Regions from separate parts of the Mus musculus genome. Here all the other regions are reported to be linked to region 2. Evidence: microRNA targets listed by miRTarBase, many of them from high-throughput screens and not tested one by one. Region 2 holds a microRNA gene; each other region holds the end of a gene's coding sequence.
What was found. Region 2 holds the annotated microRNA mmu-miR-10a-5p (UACCCUGUAGAUCCGAAUUUGUG, at 4,575-4,597, shown strand). A microRNA usually pairs through its seed, bases 2 to 8, with sites in the 3' UTR of a target mRNA and lowers its output. Matches are read on the target gene's strand: a 7mer-m8 pairs with bases 2 to 8, a 7mer-A1 pairs with bases 2 to 7 and ends in A, and an 8mer does both.

Region 1 (7,116 bases), not on the chromosome of region 2:
ATTCCAGGAGTTTCAGGGTAAGCTTGCCTCCCTTCCAGACCCTCAAATCTGTATAGAGTTTCCTGGAGGGTGTTTCTAATAAATAGGGGCAGTTTCTTAAAGCCTAGGCAAATTAGCTGGCTCAAGTCTAGTCTAGAACCCAAGACTCCATGCTAAGTTGAGTGCTCCATTCCGAAATAAACAAAATGTAAAACATTTAAGTGTCAGCATATGCCGCAAGACTGACGCTGCAACATACTTTGTTTCATGCATGAGGTTATTTAAAATGTTGTATAAATGGAGCTGGCCAGATGGCTAAATAGATAAAGATTCTTGCTTCCAAGCCTGGTGACCTGAATTCAGTCCCTGGTGGAAGGAGTGACGTTGCTCCCCAAAGTTGTTCTCTGATTTCCACTTGCCCCCACTACATAAGCAAACAATAAAATGAAATATTTTATACAATCACCTACAAGTGAGACCTGCTTAAGGGAACTCTGAAATATTCATAGAGCTCATGTTTGTTTAGATTTGGGTCCCACCTCATGGACTGTCATTCTGTAGATGCAAATTACCCATAGTCTAAAGTCCATATCACCCAGGCATTTGGGTAAGACAATCAATACGCATAAAACTAGCAGCACAGAGAAGAAGTTATCCAACAAAGTCTATGGGGGAAGACGCAGTACAGGGATTGTTGAATTAGGAAAAGAAAGTCCTGTATCATCTGTGAATGCCTAGGCAGCCTCCTTGCTTCCTTGGGAAGTGGAAGCGGGAGGATCAGAAGTTGAGTTATCCTCAGCTACATAGTGAGTTTGGGGCCAGCCTGGGCTACATGAGACCCTGTCTCAAAACAAAAAGAAGATTGTTGTACTCCCTGCCCTACCTCCTTTATGAACTCCAGTTCTTGGGGCTCACAAGTCACCAAGATGACAGGAGACAGAAGGTTAACACTTCCCCTGCCGGTGAGATCACTCAGTTCCATCTCTTGCACCGACAGATGACAGTGATGGGCAGCAGAGTGGCATTGTTCAAGAGGATGGCAAGCCAGTTTGATGAAGAGGACGATTCACTGTTGGTGCTGTCTTGCCCCCCATCTCACCGTGCTGCCCTGGGGAGCTTGTGTTAGGGACTGCTGGGGTCTCTGCAGCACAGGCACAGCATCTCTTCTTCCGTCTGTCATCTCCCACTGACTTCATTTGGTGTGGGTTCACCTCAGCAGTGTGAAGTGCACTGAGAAGGAGCAGCCGGTGTGGGGCAAAGCTGCAGTGGCCGTAGTGGAGTCTGAGGGGCCCACTTGGCTGTGATACTGACTCTACCCAGGTGATGTACTGTGACAGACACTGATTGGGGACTGGGGTGGGGTGGGGCACTTGGTACCTGTGCACTGTGCCATTAGTCAAGGTTTGTAGACAGCTTACCCAACACGAATATGGACATGAGGAACCTTCCTGGCAGAGGGGAGGGGTCAGCTACCAAAAGGCAGTTGGATTTGGGCCCAAGGCTTGAATTCTTTTATTGTTTTGCGTCTGTTTTCCTATCAAGAACACCCCTGAAACAGTACCTACTTTCCAGGCTCCTGAGAGATGGAGGAGGTAGTTCGGGGTGTAGGAGTGCCTAGGGAGGGGTTCCACAGAGCTACTGCAGGGGCCATCATTATAGACTCTCAGCTCCGCCCACCCCAACTATGCTTTTTCCCCTAGAGAGGATTGCACCTCTCCTCTCCTTCACGGTGTACAGGCAGAGCTGCATCTGGTTATGAAAGCCTAAGTGACGAACCTAAGGCTTCTCTTTCCTCATGTCTCCTGTGCTAACAGAGCATCACCTGATAACGAACTGGACACACGGTCCATTTGGACTTAGTGTCTGTGTTCTGGAAATGGGAGTATATGTTTCCATCCTACTTACTGGGCCAGTAAGTTTCAAAAGAAAATAGTGGGTGATGACTTTAGCTTGGGACAGCTGGGTTCTGGGGATTTTTATTTTATTTTATTTTTTTAAAATTTCATCTAAACATTCTGAAGTCAGGGATCTTCTAAGGGTGCAGTAGGTCTGTACTAACCATGAAAATCTGACTTGAAATTTGCACTCTGTACTTGGGTACATCTCTTGGGCACATCCTGCTCAGACAGGACAAGATCTAAGGCTTTAAGGACTTCCTAACACTGGGGCCGGAGGTTTCCTGTGGAGCTGGTTAACAGAAGTACCTGCACGATGTGGGAGAGGTTGTCTGGTCTCTCTGAATGCAGGGGCTAAAGTGAAGAAACCGCTCCCCTTGTGGCCCACCCTGAGGTCAGGGTGTGGAGGAGTCCACCTGGCTGTGAATTGGGAGCCCTTGGGGATGGCTATGACCTGTTCTCTTGCTTAGTGGTGCCTCAGGCACTCTGTCATTTCGTGGTGGGATACTCAGGTTGCCTTCAGTCCTTCGAGCTGGTCTTTCCTTTGAAGCCTGATGACAAGAGTTCCTGAGTTTGTCTGCAACTCAGAGGCAACTTTAAAAGAGAAGTTAGAGGGGAAGCGGCTATCTGGGAACATGGTGAATGTTTGGTGAGATCACTCGGTGCTTCCCGTAACTTCCTCTTATGTGCACACCTGGCGGTAGGAAATACTTGAGGGTTTTTTCCACTAGCAAATGAGAGCTTCAAGGGCTTGGTGCCGACCGCTGTTCTCAAGCCCTGGCCAGTTACCACTGTCTATTTTATCAGCCTGTGTGCACATTTATAAAGGGGCAGTTCAGTTTGGAGCCCAGGCACCAAGGGCTTTGTTTTAAGGCTTTGTTAAAAACTGGAGCCCACATCCCTTCTTTCCGTTGATGCCATCCATACCCAGATCTCAAGGCATATGTGTTAAATGCCAAAGTACAATTTGTGCATTGGTCTTTAAAAAAATAATTCTTATCTGCATGTATTAGTTAACTGATGAACTCCACTTGTTAGAACTGGGAAGAAAACCACTTCATGGTTGTTGTTTTTTTGTTTTTCCGAGACAGGGTTTCTCTGTGTAGCCCTGGCTGACCTGGAACTCACTCTGTAGACCAGGCTGGCCTCAAACTCAAAAGATATAGAAGGTATCCTCCTCACTGGGTACAGCAATCAAACTTCTCACCACAGAACTGGCTACCAGCTACTGCAAAGAAAAACTGCAGATGGGTCAACGTGGTTGACCTTACCATTTCGTAGGAAAAAAATTGGGAGAAATTAGTTCTAAGGTTATACATTTTTAAGACTTTGGAATAAAGTTACTTTTTAAAAAACATACATTTCTATGGTCTTGATTTATGCCTCCCCAGTGGGTGTAAAGAGTGGGGGTTCAGACTCATGCCTGTAATCCCTGCACTTGGGAAGCTGAGGCAGGACTGTGTGGGATTGACTGAGTGCAGCCCAGGCTACAGAAAGAGACCTTGTCTAAAGAAACATCAGCGCTAACTAGCTAGCTAGCCAGCCAGGTGACTCAACCTGTAAAGGTATTTATTTCCAAGCCTAAATTCAATCTCTGGAACCCACATGGTAGGTGAGAACATATTCCCACAAGTTGTGCCCTGGTGTCCACATACATGCCACGGGATCTCTCAACTAGCTGCGCTCGCGCGCGCACACACACACACACACACACAAACAGAAGATACGTAAACGGGCATTTAAAGAGCCATTTGGAAGAAAAGAGCTGTAAAGGTGGTTTTCTTTTGTCCCCGTTACCACTTGACTTGTGCACGCTGAATGCCTAAGTACAGTAAAGGACGTAGCTCACCAATAGAGTGTTTATTTAACTATGCATGGGTTCAGTCTCCAGTGCCTTAAAATAGAAACAAACCAAACCATTAAAAATGAGACCCTAAAGACAGCAGGAAATGGCATTTGGGAAATGAAGCACAGGAAGGAGGAGCTGGAGGGATGGATGGCTCGGTGATAGCGCTGGCAGCTCTGCAGAGGACTGAGCTCAATTTCCATTGCCCACAGGACCGCTCACATCATTTGTCCATCAGTTCCAGGGAATCCCATGTCCTCTTCTGTTTTCTTTGGAGACCTGGAAAGTATGTGCAGGCAAAACCACCCCTCCCACACAAGTATGCACACATGTATACACACACACACACACATGTACACACACACCCCTAGTGGTGACATACTAGGGACAATACCGTTGGCCTCCACAATATATTCACAAAGAACACTGATGAGAAAATGGTAGAGATGGGGGAAACATGACACGTTAAAAAGAACTGGGAAATAGTGGAAAGTTAAGTCTGGAGAATAGAATTGGGATCTAAGGCGATCAGGAAGGACATCAGAAATAAAACGGGAACCCCGGGGCTGAGTAAGGGTGAGGAACAAGCCATTAAAAAAAAATGCCTTTAGATATCGAGTGTGTTAAGGGAGGCTGTTAAGTAAGAATGAAGAACGAGAAAGGGGACAGGGAGGTAGAAAACGTGTGTGTGTGTGTGTGTGTGTGTGTGTCCTCAAAACAGACAACTGATAAACCGCGGGTATCTTCTAGGAGACCTGAGAACTGGGTCATGAATAGTGTGCCTGGACTAAACGCTAAGTGGAAGAGAGACGCATACAAAGCAAGAATGTAGAAGCAAGGTTCCTACCGTTCCAGCTCAAAAAACATGGGAGAGCAGACTTAAACCCATCACTTTTCCTTCCCTGGCTCCACATTACAAAGAGATCTATGACTCAAAAGGGAAGGAAATGGGGACATTGAACTTGGAGAAAAAAAAGTCCAGGCTGGAAACAGGAAAAGGGACTGGAGCGACCTTGAGTGTGGGTGGTGGGTGGGGTGGTGACAGGACACTACCAGGGGATTACAGAGCCCATGAGAAAGTCCAAAGCCAAGGAACAACTACAGGAACTACTTAAAACCCCTTTTCTCCTACCCTGGCTCCAAGTTAAATCCACCCGACACAAACAGGACCAGGACCCGAGGCACTAGCATCTGAGGACACGAAGAGGGAAATCTCGGGGTGTGTGGGGGTTAACCTTGACCTCCTCTCCCCTTAGTTCCTCCCCCTTGGCTTTCCCAGCATCCCTCCCGCTGGGGCCGTTGTCAAGGCCAGCATTTCAGCTCCCGCTGGGATCCCCAGTTCCCTGCCCCCCAGCCAGCATCATGACCCGGGCAGCTTCCCTGAGCCTCGAGCGAGCGAGCAGTCCCTTAGGTTTCTCCACGACACCCCCAGCCCTTGCCCGCCCCACCCCCATCTCTACTCGCTCCAATTTTAGGTTTCCACTTTGGATGCTCTCGGAGACCCCCAACCCCATCCTGCCCGGGGCTCCCCTGCCCCCTTCTCTGTCTGCTCTGCCCAGTGTTCCCCCCCACCTCGGGTCCCCTTAGCCCCGCTTCCTCCGGGCTCCGCGTCCCTTTAGTCCGGCGTTCCCTCCCCCCCCCCGCTCCCCGCCCCCCGCCTCCCGCCTCCGTCCCCACAGCTCGGCGTCCCCCTCGAAGCTCCGCGTCCCGCGCCCGCCGCCCACTCCGCCTCCGCCCCCGCATCCCCAGCGTTTCCCCTGCGAGCTCTCCGCCCCGGCCCCGGCCCCGCCCCCGCCGGCCGCCATGTGACGGGAAGCAGCTGATGGCCTCTGCGGGCGGCAGCGGCGGCGGCATTGGCGGCGGTGGTGGCGGCGGCGGGCGCGGCCGCGGCGGGGCGGGCGCGGAATGAAGGCCCACGGCCCTGGGGGCTGAGGCGCCCGCCGCCTGGGGCGGGCCGCGCGTCCTCATGGAGGCCGGAGGTGAGTGCGGCCGCGGCGGGGCGGCGACCGAGGCGGGGAGGGCAGCTTTGTTTCACTTTCGCTGTCAGCTGCGGCAGCCGGCCTCCTGCCACCGCGGGGACCGGCCGCCGTCCCTGAGCGAGCCCACTGGACTGGGATGGCTCCAGAGTCCCCGGGTCGCCTGCGCCATGGCCGGGCTTCTGGCCTCAGCGCCCATCGCGGCTCGGTAGTAGCTGCGGCCGCTGGGTGGGTGCCTGGGAACGGGGTGGGGCCCCGGACACTGCCCCGGGGTGACACGTAGGTCCCGACACCCTAGTGGGTGAGGTCCACAGCTGTCACCACGAAAGCTCAAAGTGAGAGCACGGGATGAACTTGCTGGCCGCCTGGAAAAGCGCAGAGATGCTAGGGATGGCTAGACCTGCAGCCCCTCGGGGCTTCTCCCTGGAGGGCTCTTGTCCCAGCGTCCTGATCACGGAATAGTAGCGTGGGTTGGGGACCTGGGGGAGGGGGCTGTCGCCACACTCCAGGGTCCCCAAATACCGGAGCTGAAAGACAGATTCCGTAGGGGGATTTTAAGAGTCAAGGCCTAGGGCTCAGACTTGTTCCGGTGAAGTTGAAGCTTCACCCAGGTCTGGAGGACTCGGATGCACCAGAGGGCTGGCAGGGCCGGATGGGGTTGTTGGAAAGGCAGGTGTTCCCTGGGGTGGTGTCCCCTTTGCATTTAGGAAATGACATTTCTTTGTTTGCAGGAGCCAGGCTTTCAGGGAAAGGTGTCGCGGCAGCTCCTCTCCCGGGTTTCCATCTAGATTAAAACCTTTCAGTATCTTCCCTATAGAATTCTGTTTAAATGGCCCCTACTGTTTTCTTCTGTGACTCTTTTTATAGCTTCCGTTTTCGTTTCCATTGATGCCTCAAAGTTGTATCTCAAAGCAATCTGTGACCAGACCACCTCCCCCCCCCCACACACACACTTTTTTTTTAAACCGGAATCTTTTCCAGTGCAGAGTTTTTCCCTAGTGATTGACGTCTGTGTGGTAGGCGGTGGGCAGAGCTGTTGGGAGCTACCAAGCTACTGTTAAAAAGGCCAGACACTAGGCCAGAGTTTTACTCTCTTTTCAAACTGAATAATGTCTATTGTAAAAGGATTACAGTAGAAAACAGTAGAACGGTGGTTACAATTAATTTATTCATTCAACAAATATTTATTATCTGGTATGTGCCGGGCACCCTCTGGGTCCTTGCTGGCCCAGAGTAATATAATAGCAATATGTAATTTAAACGTAGACACATTAAAAAAAGGCAACAGTTGAAATTAAAAAGGATAACGTATCTAAAATATTTCAAGTTTAATTTATGCCATGAAACAAAAATTATAGGAATGTTTTGGAGACGGAAGAATTTTTCTGTGTGGGCGTTTTAACTGCCAGTTTGTCTGCAC
Region 2 (7,116 bases):
AGATAACCTTTGAGTCACCACATGAAATTTAATTAAAACCTACCCAGCCGCACACATTTAAAAAAATCCAATTACCCACACGTCCTTGCAGGACGTTTGGCAGGACCAAAAGAAGGCTTCCAAGGTGAAGGCTTGATTCTCACATCAGTCCCACCCTGCTCGCCCTAAAGGGGATAACTGCAGGCTCCTCACCCACCTGAAAGATGTCCCCTGTTTTCCCAGACCCCTAGTTCCTAGACTAGTTGCAGGAAGCTGAGTTCAAGACTTTGGGTCAGTGCTAGAGATTTTCTTTTCTTTTTTAATTCTCCATCCTTTCTTTTAAATGTCGTGCTTAAGAACTAGGGCATTGAAAAGTCGTTTGCTCTCTCATTCTCTCCCAAGCCTCCGTTTGGATGTTCATCCGGATTCCCTCTCTCCCTCTTTGGAGGAGGGAAGGGCAAGTGTGATGGAAAAATACCTAATGATCACTTGGAGATCTTTGTAAATGGAGTTGAAGCAGGCGACCTGAAATGAACCCTCAGTCTATGCATTAAGCTTAGTTCATAAGTAAAATGCTTCCTAGAGACCGTGATAATAACAAAGCATATGCCTATTTTGGTCTTTAAGTGATTATTGCATTATAAGATGCCATCACAGTCTCTTCTAAACATTCGCTATAGGAGTTGTACTGTGGGTGTTTGTCCTTCCACAGTGGAGAAAACCTGAGAGCTTTTGTAAAGATGACTTTTGAAATAAAGCCAATGAGGAAGAAAAAGGTTAATAGCAAGTTTCAAGTCAATTTAACCCCAAGGTCCTCCCACCCCAACTAAAAGGTGTTTGGAATCTTATTTTTATTTAGTTCTCAAGTGAGATTCTCTGGGGTGGGGGTGGAGTCCAGAGAGGAAGTCTTGGGGCCTGAGGAGTAGAGGCTACAGGGGCAAGGAGAGAATCTATTTTGTTTGATCTCCTCCTAAGTCTCATTTGCCTTCATCTTAGGAGAAGATAATGACAAATTAAAAAAAAATCTGTAATAGACTTGGAGTGGCCCAAAGTCCCAAGCTAAAAAAGGTTTTGGGAAGGGAAGAGTGACTTCTGCCACCCCAGACCAAACTGGCTGCCTTAGAGAGTATTTTCCCAACCCATCCATAGCAGAGGGTACCACTACCAGCGTGGAAGAAGAGTCATCTGGCTTAACTCAACCAGTCCGCTGGGGGCCAGAGAAAGGGAAAGCTATTATAGACATTGACATTGCACCAGATTTTAAAACCTTGGTCTTGGGGGGTGGGGACAGAGTGGCTGAATGAGTGAGAACTAAGGATGAGGAGTATTTTGGTTTTAGGGACAACTACAGCCTCTGAAAGCCAGGTCCTCAAGCTTCCAGCCTCAGCCTCCAGCAGTGCAATCCAGCCTATCTCCCAGGGCTCTGCTGTGGATTAATTGCTCCATCCAGAGAGGTGGGAAAGTCTGGAACTCTGGGGCCTCCAAGTTTTAGAAGTGTCCCTGTAGCTGACATTTGGGGCGACAGAGTGGACGAAGAAGTCTCAGTTGACTCAAGCCCTGCAGAGTGCAAGCATTTAGGGCGACATCAGAGAAGGAAACCGTTGACTGAGGCCTGCTTTCTAGGGTTTAGATGCCCAGTGACACACTCTCTGCCCTTCAGGTGCCAGTGCCAGCATAGTTGTTTAGTGTTCGGGCCTCCGAAGGATTCCCTCCACGGGGTCACACGGTCTTGCTCTCAGCGCTGGGCACGGGAGCTGGCAAAAATATTGGAATGATGGAAAAATCAAAGCAAAGGCGGGTCAGCTTGAATCGCATTGGAATGGAGACTTTTGGGGGTTGGGGGTTGGGTGGGGGAACAGAGAAAAGTAGAACTGGAGAGGGTAAACTGAATCAAATCCTGCTCTGTCGTTTTTCTCCCAAGTAATGACCTGCGCAAAATTCAATATGACCGAGCGAACTGCGTGAGCATATTATACTAACTGCCTGCTCGTGGGGGAGGCCCGGAGAGGGGTGAACCGCAGGTCACGGCGTCTAAAAATTATTAAAATGTTCGAGAACCTCGTGACGCGCCTGCTGTTTAACAAAGACTGCCAAAGTATGAGATTAATACGAAAACTTGCTCTTCAAAAACAAAAACACACCAAAAAAAAAAAAAAAAAAGTCCTTTTCCGGCCTCCGAGGGGGCATGTGGTTCCACTGCCCGCAGCCGCGGTTCGGTTTTCCGGATACACAATAGTGGACAGGAGCGAGCTCCGCTGTTGCTCAGCGGGCCACGGCCGGTCGGCTTGGAGCAGGCGGGGAGCGGCTGGGTGAGTACTCTTGCCGGCTCAGGCCCTTGCTATGCTCAACGCGCTTGGGGTGCCCGGACCCGCTAGAGACTGACCTCCGGTTGGCCCTCGGGTTCCTGTTCCTCTCTGTTTCCCTTCCAACTCGTCCATAAAAGGTGGATGATTTTTCTGTGCCGCCGGGGGTAGGCCTGTGATGGCGGAGAAGGGCTGGGCTGGGCAGCGAGGGGTCACACTAGCAACCTGTGGCTGCCAGGAGAAGGCAGCCAAGTGGCCTCTAAAGGATCCGGAGCACTAGAGATAGGGCAGAGAGCGTGCCCAAGCCCCTGGCTCTGCGTGTTTTCATTGTTATGGTTATTGTTGTTGGTATTCTAGACATAGAGAGGTGAGGCTGCGTGTAGCTGCAATGAAACCTGTCCTGGAGTTGCAGATAAATCCTGTCTTCCGCCCCTGGCGTCTACACAGGGAGGGAGTGTGGATGGGGGTTGCAGCTGCGCCTTGGTGGGAGGGCAGGTGGTGGCTCTCCTATTCGCAAAAGCGAAAATCTCAGTGCTCCGGCCCTAGGTTCAACCATACCCAGCTTTGCATCTCTCTATCCCTATTCCTCTCCCTTGGAGCTCAGGAAACCTGGGCCACATCCCTTGTTAAAGCATAGATCAGCAAAATGTAGACTAGCTGCTCTCTGAAACAGAGTTAGACCAGTATTCAAGAGCAGGACAGGAGATATGGGATAGGGGAGGGGCCTGGACATTGGAGTGGGTCGTGGTACTTCTAAATACCTTTTGAGAGGACTGTTCTTGCTTGATGCTTGGGTCAAAGCAGCACACTTTGTCTATGGGTGACTAAATTGAACCCCGTCTTTGATGAAGATCAAAACTACAATGTATTTTCTCTGACTCTCTCTCCAGTTAAGTATGAGTCTGGCCTATAGGAGGGCATTGGGGTTAGAAAACAAACCCAGAGGACAACATTGCCATGCCTAGATCTATGAGGTTTAACAATAACAGCAGCAGCAGCAACAACAACAACAACAACAACAACAAAGACTGAGGTCTCTGGACCCAGTTGCCTGCAGGTGGGAGCTCTCCTGCCCATTTGCAAGGGTTCCTGGTGTGTGCATGCGTGGGTTTGGCTTGTTTGTGTATGTTCATGAAATTGACTGTGTTGTAATTTACTCAGTAAGGGCAGAAGTATCCCCCAAGCCTAGGGTGTTATAGCGGTGGTGATAGTGAGAAAGACTCTGCTGGACACACTTGCCCTCACCTGGTCACAGCTCTCCCAGTTTAAACTCCAGATCCTCAATTTCTCATTTTTTCAGTTTAGAAAAGTCAAATGTTAGTGGGAGCTTCAGGAAGTTCACCCAAAAACTCCAGAATCCCATTTTGGCCACACAGCCAGCAACCCAAGCAGGTGGATGGGCCCAGTTAGTGAGCCTCTAGACAGAGGATCCTTGCCTGGGGATAAGGTGTGGGTAGGGGGGGTCCTCCTCACACCTCTAGGGGGGTGTCCCCTTATTCCAGCCTCCAGGAGGTATGGGGGGGATATGTGAGGTTGGGAGGGGCCTGCACATCATCTGGCTGCAACTTTTATGGTTCCTCATTGCCCTTCATTCGGAAATGAACTGCCTTTGATCTTCTTCTCAGGTTGTAAACGGAATTGCCCGTCATTAAATATGGGGGGGGGGGCCATCTGTTTGGTCTCCCAGCATTTTTCCTCACAGCTGTTTTTCTCTCTCTTTTTAGCATTCACTTTTTCCAAAAGGACTTTTATTACACCCCCTTCACACCCAGACACCTCTCCCTCCTCCCTTTGCTTTGGAAAATATCTATATATGTGTTTGATCACAAACTAAAGGCTGTGGGGGCAAGGGAGGAACCTATTTGGGGTTTTGTATTTTTTCTTAAAAAAAAAAAAGTCATGGGGGGAGGGGAGGGGCCGAGGGCACCCAGAAAGGCCTGATTCTGACTTCGAGGCAGCCTCGGGATGACCCTTCCTTCTTTTGTGCTTAGCTAATGTTTACATCTAATAATTCATGCGCCACCGAAAGTCGCGCGGCAGCCACGAGGTTCGAGTCCCTTTGCACAACAGCTGCCTTTTTAAAAAATCTTATTTTATTTTTTGAATAGAAAGTTGAAACCCCTTGTAATCCCAAGAACGGACCCACAGTGACTTTTCTGCTCCCAGATCTCAAAATTAAAACAAAACGAAATAAAAATGAAAACATTCAGATCACACCCAAAAGAAGAACGCACGGAAAGTAAGAGAACTGGAAATTTCCTGGGCCAAGAAGACCTGTCTGTCTTCTGTATATACCCTGTAGATCCGAATTTGTGTAAGGAATTTTGTGGTCACAAATTCGTATCTAGGGGAATATGTAGTTGACATAAACACTCCGCTCATATTCTTTCCCAGAAGAAAAATAGATTATTTTCTAAATGAGGACAATCCAGTGACTGCCTTCAAGAAGACTCCTTTTCTTTTCCTCCCTCAACCAATGAGGGAGAAATCTCATCTACCTGAGGTGTCCCCATGCACACCCCTGGAAGCTTGGGTCCTTGTTCACTCAAGAGATTAATGTTACTGGTGTTTTAAAATTTATCTTTAAGCCCCAACCTACCTATTCTTATTCTGGGTCCAGGGGGCTTTATTGGAAATCATGAGGAGGAAAAAAAGATTGCTGAAGGCTGCAGTGTGCAAAGGCAAAGGAAATTTGCTTTTTAAAAGGATGCGAAGATTGCTGTTTCGTTGAATTCAAGACAAGATGCCCTGAAAACATAAGGTTGCCATGGGTGTTCTTGTGCGTGTGATGTTGGTGGGGGCGTCACAGCTAGGGCTCCTTTACTTAGTATTCAAGGTTGTGAAATTTCTTTCTGCCACACTGACAGAGGCGGCGGCTTTAGCGGCAATTAGAACTCTTGGTTAGCATTGCTTCGACGAATCTGGAATTAGCAAATTACTATTCAATTGGTTTTAGGAACTTGCGGGTTTGGTTTGGTTTCATTGTATCTTCTGTCTTTAGTGGAGGGAGTCCAGCCGTTCCTCTGACCTTGGGCCTTGTGGGTTAAAGGGAGGGAGTGTTGAGGAGGACAGACTGACGGACACAGCCGATGCTCATAGTGCAGCTAAATGCGATTTGGAAGGCGAAGTCTCCCCGAATTAGTGCGTGAATTTCCTATCGATCTGCTCGCGGTTCCATTCATCTCTGACAAGTCCCTCTGCGCACCCGCCTTCTAGCTCCCGACGCCTCCTCACTCACCTCCTACCCCTCCCCATCTGGCTGCACTGAGAAGCCCCAAGCTCAGCGCCCCTATGACCTAGTGGGTACCCATTTCAAGAAGGCGCTCCCTGGTCGGCCAACCACTTAAAACCCCACACAGACACCTAGTGCGTGAGCTCCCTCTTATCCTGGGGAGGAGATGGGGCCCTATGGGAGTCAGAGAAAGGTTGGTGGAGATTAGGTAGGGCAGGGGTGGGGGCTACACCCGCAGCCCCAACTTCTGAGGGATGCAGGGTTTGTGCTCTGCCCAGCCCCCTCACCCCCAAACAGGCCCTCCAATTAACCTGCTCACTCTTTCTTAGTTCATCACCCCTCTCTGTTGTGGAGAAAGCCAGGCGAGGAGGGGGTCTCCCCGCGGGAGCCCTATGTAAATCCTGGTGTTGGGTGGGTGGGGAGGGGTAGAGAAGGGGAAATAAACCTCTTTGGCTGGAGTAGGGTCCGGGTGAGCAGATTTCCTTATCCGGGAATCGCAGGCCGGGTGGCCATTGGCTCGGAGGATCACGTGGGCCTCTAACTTTGTTCACTTGACAGTAAGTAGGAGGGCTTTCGGAAACAGGAAAACGAGTCAGGGGTCGGAATAAATTTTAGTATATTTTGTGGGCAATTCCCAGAAATTAATGGCTATGAGTTCCTTTTTGATCAACTCAAACTATGTCGACCCCAAGTTCCCTCCGTGCGAGGAGTATTCACAGAGCGATTACCTACCCAGCGACCACTCGCCCGGGTACTACGCCGGCGGCCAGAGGCGAGAGAGCGGCTTCCAGCCGGAGGCGGCCTTTGGGCGCCGGGCGCCGTGCACTGTGCAGCGCTACGCGGCCTGCCGAGACCCCGGGCCCCCGCCACCTCCGCCGCCCCCGCCGCCCCCGCCACCGCCCGGGCTGTCCCCTCGGGCTCCAGTGCAGCCAACAGCCGGGGCCCTCCTCCCGGAGCCCGGGCAGCGCAGCGAGGCGGTCAGCAGCAGCCCCCCGCCGCCTCCCTGCGCCCAGAACCCCCTGCATCCCAGCCCGTCCCACTCCGCGTGCAAAGAGCCCGTCGTCTACCCCTGGATGCGCAAAGTTCACGTGAGCACGGGTGAGTGCGTGGGCACCCCTTCCCCTCCCACCCCCGGCGCTTTACAGTGAAGGGACCTCCGAGGCATGTGGGGGAGGGAGCGAGGGGAAGCCAATTGTCCCCGCTATAAACTCGCCATTGCCAGAGATTTACGGTCTCCTGTTTTCAGAGCCACATAATTACATCGCCCATAAATTTTTATGGCCTAGTGGGCCCTGCGCCTTTGAAGTCATCCTCTTCTTCATTCTCCCAGCGACTTTTTCGCCAGGGATTCGCAGTCCCAGTAAAGTTGGAAGTTGGGGAGGGGTGTGGGAGGAGGGGAGGAGAAGGAAGAGGAGGAGGTAATCCCTATTTAAGCACAGAGTTGAATCAACTTCCTGGATTTCTTTTTTTTTTTTTTTTCCCCTTTCTTCCAATCTGGTACCTTGGCTGGAGAAGTAGGCAAAAGTTTTTACTAAGGGGAAGGCGCTGCTTGGAATCTGAGCAGTGAGGGTGGGAACTAAGCCGGGGAAAGGTCTAGGGCAA
Region 3 (7,116 bases), not on the chromosome of region 2:
CTCATCAAAGGCTCTGCAGACAGGTGCGGCTGTGCGCATGCGCATAGGCATGCGCCCCAGGGCTTCCATGGTGGGTGGGGGCTTTACAGAGAGACATTCGGGGCTGCCTCGTGCAGCTTCACTACATTTTAATTTTTCCGACCCTCTGTCTGACCTCCTATCCATCCACCTCCCCCCAAGCCCCCATCACGAGCATACCTACTATGTGCTAGGTGACTAATGTATAGACAAAACAAAACAAATAATACCACCACCATCACGATCGATCGGTTCAACAGAGAGTTGTCAAAGGCCCGCTGTGTGCTAGAGCGTCTGAGTTAGTGTTCTGTTGCTGTGATGAACACTATGACGGAAAGCAGTTGGGAAGGAAAGGGCTTACTTGGCTTAGACTTCCACATCGTAGTCCGTTGTTGAGGGAAGTCAGGGAAGGAAGCTGGAACCAGGAAATGGTGCAGAGGTCATGGAGGGCAGCTGTTTACCATTTTGCTTTCCATGGCTTGCTCAGCCTGCTTTTGTATAGCATCGAGGACCACGGACCACCTGTCCAGGGGTGGCATCACCCGCAGCGGGCTGAGATCTGACGCCAATCATTAATTACGACTGAAGGCCAGTCTGATGGAGGCCTTTTCTTTTCTTTCTTTTTTCTTTTCTTTTCTGTTTTTCGAGGCAGGATTTCTCTGTATAGCCCTGACTGTCCTGGAGCTCACTTTGTAGACCAGGCTGGCCTCAGACTCAGAAATCTGCCTGCCTCTGCCTCCCAAGTGCTGGGATTAAAGGCGTGCGCCACCATGCTCGGTGGGTGGAGGCGTTTTCTTATCTGAGGTTCCTTCTTCCCAGTTACCTGGGGTTTTCAGTGGGCATCGCTTTGTTACCTGGGGTTTTCAGAGGGCACCACTTTGTGCTCAGACCAGGGATGATGGAAAGTTACAGAATGAATACCCACGACCACCCCACCCCCCACTCCCAAAGAGAAGCCACACGCTACAGTAAGCAGTGGCTAGGGTAGAGGTCCCAAGGAATGCCAAGAGCCCTAGGCAGCTTATGGAACCTACAGGGACTGGGAGAAAGTGCGCCTTGCAGGGATCTCACAGCAGGAGCCCCTCAGGGTAGCCGCCACTGTGTTGTTGCTGAGAGTGGAACCCAGAGCCTTGTGCATACTAGGCAAAAGTTTTGCTCACCCCAGACCCTTCGGGTAGGTTTTTTAACAGGTGTGACCGGCCAGAGCTCCGGGCCCTGGGCCGTTAGGGTCCCCCAGGCTGCTCTCTGAAAGGCTTTGGTTTCTAATGCAGGAATTCACCGTCCCCCAGCTCCGTGGCCAGCAGTGACTCAGGAAGTACAGACGAAATCCAGGAAGACCTGGAGCGGGAGGCGGATGTGGAGCCCATGGTCAGCTGATGACGGAGGCCCGACGCTCCTGGTGGTCTTGGTGATGGGGTCCAGCCTCCTCTCCCCACTGAGCCGTGTGGGCTCCACTCCTCGACACAGACTTCTGTCCTCCCTTCTCCGGAGGCCCAGCGGGACCGCTGCTTCCTTCCTTCCTCCACCACCGACCCATGGAATGGTGCTGTCGATTTTTCTATTGTCCCCACACACACCACAAACGCAGACTTTTGTGCGTCGATGCAGTGCAACTGTGCCTTCTCCCTTAAGCTGAGCCACTTTGAGCTCCAAAGAATTCTTCCTAGCAGGTGTTTTTTTAAATATAAAACTCTAAGGTGAGGGTGGGGCCTGGAGGCGTGGTAGCTTTTGGTTTTCTCCCTCCCACCTGCTCCTCTGATTGGACATGAGCTTTGCTCCCTCCCTCTGTCCCAAGATGACTTGCGGTGGTCTGCTTTCTCAAGGAAGTAGACTGTGTTACCTCCAGAGCTGGGCGAGGAGGAGTCGTCAATACTTTCTCACCCAGGGATAGAGTGGTGGACGGAAGTGGAGGGAGGGAAGACCAATTTTTTTCTTCTTCTTTTGGATCTAGTGGCGATGTATCGGGGAAAGGCACTGTGGGGGAAGGAAGAACCTCACTGTGTTTAAACTATGCAAAAAACAAAAACAAAAAACAAACAAACAAAAAAACCTAAAAGCAGCTTGCCTTATATCATTGGGGAAGGCAGGCCCTCTCTCAGACTTCTGGGAACTGGGAGAGAGGCCAAGGTTGGCATGAGTCCCTCATAGCCTCTGAGGTTCAGAGGTGGCTTTGGGGGTGGTCCCAGTCAGATTGCTGGTAAGGCCTGCCTGCATTCTGCAAGCCGGCCCACTGGACTGATGGTTTTCTTGGGGACCTCTGTGGGGTGGGGTGGGGTGGGTGGTGGTCTTTTATTTTCCTGATGACTTGATGTTCATTCCCGCCTCTCCAATCACCTGCCAGGTTCCATGGTTGTAATTTCTCTGTGAGAAAGTATGAACAGGCCAGGCCTGCTACCTACTCTGTCCTCCACAGTACCGTCTTGGTCCTCCGTTGTCCCTCTGGCTGGGGGGAAAAAGCCTTGTTGGGGGGGGGGGAGTGGCATGGCTGCTGGCAGGCTGGCAATGACTGGAGAGAAGCCTCAAGTGAGGACCGTCCTCATTCATACATGCTTTCCATACCCATCTGTCTGGACGCTGAGCCAGTGATTCCCCAAGGCTCCCCTGGGGCCTGAGGTAAGGGGCCATAAGATAGAGCATCCGTCTATCAGAGAGCAGCTGGCGACTTGCCTAGCAACAATCAGGTTTTGTTTTTATTTCTTTCCTTATTTTGGGGTCCACTCTAGTGGTTTTGATGGCCTATGTTGTTTTTATTGACCCAGTGGGTTCCTCTGGAGTTCAAAGGAACAAAATGTCCCCAGGGATCAGAACCCATGGCCCTCTGAGGCCTGGGTGGTAAAGGGCAGAGGACTCTGGAACCATAGTGGTACCCGAGCCTCCTCTTTATCCCTCTGTTTCTCTCTAGGTGGTTCCATTATCTGTTTTGCACTTAGAGCCAGTGTACATAGTAGGCTTATGTATGGATAGAGAGGAGAGAGGATGTGTTTGTTGGTGGCTTGTAACTTATCAGAACTTGGTGGCCTTTCTTACGTGTGTCTTCCATGATGTGGGGAGGGGTTTCCCATTGGTCCCTGTGCAGGTACTTGGAGGGACAATTGTTTGGGAAAAGACACAGCCCCTGTCCTCACTATTCTCTTCCCCTTTCTCACCAATCCTTCTTTTAAAGGTTACAGGGTTCATACACTTCTGGTTATTATTATTGTGTGTTATTGATATTATTGTTTTGGTTTTATTTTATTCTATGTTATTTTTTTAACCAAAGGTTATCAGAGCCAGATGGGCCTGGACCTTAGCTGCTGTAAAGATTTCCGTTTCTGTGAGGGCAGGAGGAGGGTTGCCCTCATGGGTCCTTGACTGAGGTTGGGGACCGTTTCCATCCAGCGGTAAAGCGGTAGAGTCTGGTAGTCAGGTGGGCAGAGCAGAAGCCAGCCCTTGATCGTTCTTCATGGAGGTGGTGGGCTGACATGTATCTCTAGCGTTAAGACAGGAAGCAACAGCGTAAACGTTTGAGGGGATGGCTGTGTACACAGCTACTGTGTAGTTGCTGGTCTCTGGTGTTATTTAACTTTCCCACCTGTATACATAGGTCATTTGTCTGGTGTGCATGAGAAAAGCAGACTCCTTTGGGTTCCCTCCTGCTGACTTTCAAAGTCTGCTTTCCCCTGGGAGGTGGAGCTCTGAGGCAGGAGGATGAGTGGAGAGGAGCAAGGGTGTGGTAGGCATGTTTCCTGGCTTGGTCTGGGCTCTGGGCCTGGCCTCCTCTTAGTGTTTGGTTTGTTCGTTTCGTAGTTCGTTGCCAGTGGGTCCTGCTTGTGCTCACTGTGAGCCCACAGCTTGCCCAGAAAGACCCCACCCCTCACTGGGGCCGCCTCTCACTGGGGCAGCGCCTGCCCTGTCTGGACGAACTTGTCCACCCGTGTAAACATGTACATATGTTCTCTTGACTTTTCTATGTCTGAGCCCCGTGTCATATTGACACGGGGGGGCTCAGGGCTTCTCAGATGGGCTCCCCGTGTTGCCCCTGGCCATGCTCCTAGTTTGGGGGTCACATACACAGGCACAGCAGGGAGACAGCATCCTTTCAGGTTCCTGGTTGGTCGTGAAACACACACACACACACACACACACACACACACACACACACACACACTCCACTAAGACTCCAAAGGAGAAAGATGGGGAAGAGGTTTTGTCTTCCCGTTGGCAGTGTGTCTGGAAGGCATGAACACTTTGGACTCTGTTTTAGGGGTAGAACTCAGATGTCCTATGAAGAGTCAAACCACTTTGACTTTAGGGTGGGAGGAGAGGGGATGGGTTAGGGGTAAGATGAGGTGTAACTTAAGCTAAATGTATTCTATTTATGAAGCAAGAGACTGTATTTTTATGAAAGGAAAAGGTTTTTAATCTAGGGTAGGCAGTCATGGTGGCCCAGCATTTTGCTGTGGATAAGATACCGCCATGTTCATTGACTCCGGTGTACAATCAACAGTAAACCCCTCTCCTCAGCTTGCCCTCCGTCCTCACTGAACGTCCGCACACAGCTGGGGCGGGAGTTTGTTGTTTCTTCTTCCCCGGCCCTCAGCTCCTTAGAAGTCTTGGAAGGGAGTGGGGAGGGAGGGTGGAATGCAGAAAACTGAGGTGGGGGAGAGGTAGGTTCTAATTAGTCACCCCATCTCCCTTCTGGCCAGACCTGCTCCCATTCAGCTGTGTGGGGAGAGTAGGAGGGAGGTTCTGTGGGGTTGGGGGACACAGGACTTCTTAGGGGCATAGGGACTTACTATGTCTGAAGTCGTCAGGCAGCTGGAGCAGGCATAGAAGGGACTCAGGACACTAAGAGCTCAGCCCTGTCTGTGTCTACTCCAGGCCAAGGTCGAGCTTGGTTGTGGATGAAGGACCAGGACTCTGTAGGGTTTCATCAGACCTGGGTCCTCCCTCTGGGACTGACCTAGTGGGAGGAGTGGAGACGGGTCTGGGCAAAGCCATACACACTCTGGGAAAAGATTTCCAGGCTCAGCGTGGACTGTGTGTGAGTCTCAGGCAAACTCCTCACCTTATGACTTCCTTCCCAAGCTCTCGAGGACATGTGAATTCCCCACCATGACACGACCCCTTTCCACACACTGTAGCATCTACCTGGTTTTTAGTCCCACCCTACCCACCGTTGCTGTGTCTGTCAGCTGGGTCTGAAAATCACCGGGAGGGGTTTGTACTCATCAAAGACTACTGACCCTACCAGAAAACCAACCTGTTTACTGTACTGTTGTAAATACTGTGCCCTTTATATCGTGTATATTGGCTTCTTTGGAATAAAGTAAAATGTCTTAGCACACATGGTTTATGCTGCTTTGTATCCTGGTGGTTGTGGGAGGGGTAAGAAGACTAAAGCAAACTTATTAACCAATCAGTGATAAGATTGGGGACTTGCCTATTTGCATCTCACAGTAAGATCTTCCAGGATGCCACGCATTGGTGGCTCACACCTTTAATCCCAGAACTCAGAAGGTAGATCTCTGTAAGTTCAAGGTCTACAAAGTGAGTTGCTGGACAGCCAGAAACCCTGTCTTGAGAAACCAAGTAACAACAAACAAACACACACCAACATAAAAAACCTCCCAGAAGGACCTAAGGCAGGGAGAATTAGACAGAAGAGGCCCCAAGAAACCCTAGGCTAATTGGCACTGCCTGGTCTAAAGTTGAGGTCCCACCAGCTACAAAGCCCCTATTTCACAGACCTCCCCAGAATGTCTACAAGAAGCACCTGCTGGACTCTGGATTTGATATTGTCCACTGTTACAGTTGCTTTTAACAAAGGGCCACATTCAAAGGTGGCCTCCCTCCACTGTGAGCTGCCATTTCCAAGGATGGAGAGAAACTGCTGCTTGGTCACATGATGTAGCTCTTTCCTAGTCCCATCTCCTAGAGTGCCTTAAATGGAGTAGTTGGCAGGAAAGGGGGAAGACCAGGGTGACGGGTGTTCAAGGTGCATAACATCATCCTATTTAACAGAAGAGGAAACCGAGGTCCACAGAGCCTGCATGGGATAGTTTTTATGTCAGCTTGACAGAAGCTGGTGGCATCTGAAAGAAGGGGACAAAAAATTTTAAGAATATGCCTCCAAGGCTGGAGAGATGGCTCAGCAGTTAAGAGCACGGTCTGCTCTTCCAGAGGTCCTGAGTTCAAATCTCAGCAACCACATGGTGGCTCACAACCATCTATAATGGTTTCTGATGCCCTCTTCTGGTGTATCTGAAGAGAAACAAGTATTATACTTACATATAATAAATAAGTAAATCTTTTCTAAAAAAAAGAAAAAGGAAAAAAAAAGAAAATGTCTCCAAAAGATCAGCCTGTGGGCAAGCCTGTAGGGCATTTCCTTTTCTTTCTTTTTCTGTTTTATTAATTAGTTAATTAATTATTACATTATTGTTAGTATTAGTATTATTATCATTTTAGTTATTTGAGACAAGGTTTCTCTGTATAGACTGGAACTCACTCTGTAGACCAGGCTAGCCTCAAACTCAGAGATCTGTCTGCATCTACCTCCTAAGTGCTAGATGTAAAGGTATGCACTACCACTGCACAGCTACTTGGGCAAAAAAAATTCTTAATTTGTGATTGATGTGGGAGGGCCCAGCCTATTCTAGGTAGTCCAACCCCTGGACTGGCGGTCCACCTGTAAGGCTGAGCAAGCCAGTAAGCAGCGTCCCTCCACGGCTTCTGCATCAGCTCCTGCCTCCAGGTTCCTGCCTCAGTGATGAGCTGAAAATTTGCACACGTAAACCTTTAACTCCCCACTTGCTTTTTGGTCATGGTGTTTTGAGGCGAATCTGCCCAGTGTGGTATCAAATTAGAACCAGAGGGACCCCAAAGTAAATGCCCTGGTTACATTGTCAAAGACAGAGAAACACGTTGAAGCAGGACTGTGGTGGTGCAGGCCTTTAATCCCAGCACTCTGGAGGCAGACCTGCGGGTGGATCTCTGTAAATTCAGGGCCTGGTCTATAGAGCCAGTTCCAGGATAGCCAAGGCTACACAGAGAAACCCTGTCTGAAAAAGTAAAACCAAGCCAAAAAAAAAAAATTAAAAAAATTAAACAAAAACA

Region 1: the mRNA of Vsig10 is a reported target of mmu-miR-10a-5p. Seed matches in the 3' UTR shown: 7mer-m8 at 2,962-2,968.
Region 3: the mRNA of Iffo2 is a reported target of mmu-miR-10a-5p. Seed matches in the 3' UTR shown: 7mer-m8 at 3,185-3,191.

The regions. Positions count from the first base shown.
Region 1 is chr5:117,351,775-117,358,890 of GRCm38, forward strand. Vsig10 (V-set and immunoglobulin domain containing 10) reads left to right here. Exons shown (of 10, transcript NM_001033311.3): 9 at 1-17; 10 at 977-3,232. The coding sequence ends at 1,032. Wsb2 (WD repeat and SOCS box-containing 2) reads left to right here and starts at 5,531. Exons shown (of 9, transcript NM_021539.5): 1 at 5,531-5,699. The coding sequence starts at 5,687. Gm42012 (a long non-coding RNA gene) reads right to left here and starts at 5,086. Exons shown (of 2, transcript XR_878716.2): 1 at 4,853-5,086; 2 at 3,716-3,999.
Region 2 is chr11:96,312,612-96,319,727 of GRCm38, forward strand. It overlaps Mir10a (microRNA 10a), which reads left to right and starts at 4,554; the gene lies at 4,554-4,663. It overlaps Hoxb4 (homeobox B4), which reads left to right and starts at 5,656. Exons shown (of 2, transcript NM_010459.7): 1 at 5,656-6,612. The coding sequence starts at 6,159. It also overlaps a transcript of Hoxb3 not described here.
Region 3 is chr4:139,615,039-139,622,154 of GRCm38, forward strand. Iffo2 (intermediate filament family orphan 2) reads left to right here. Exons shown (of 9, transcript NM_001205173.1): 8 at 1-23; 9 at 1,290-5,344. The coding sequence ends at 1,395. Among named protein-coding and RNA genes, the nearest start is that of Aldh4a1, 4.3 kb to the right of the region's middle.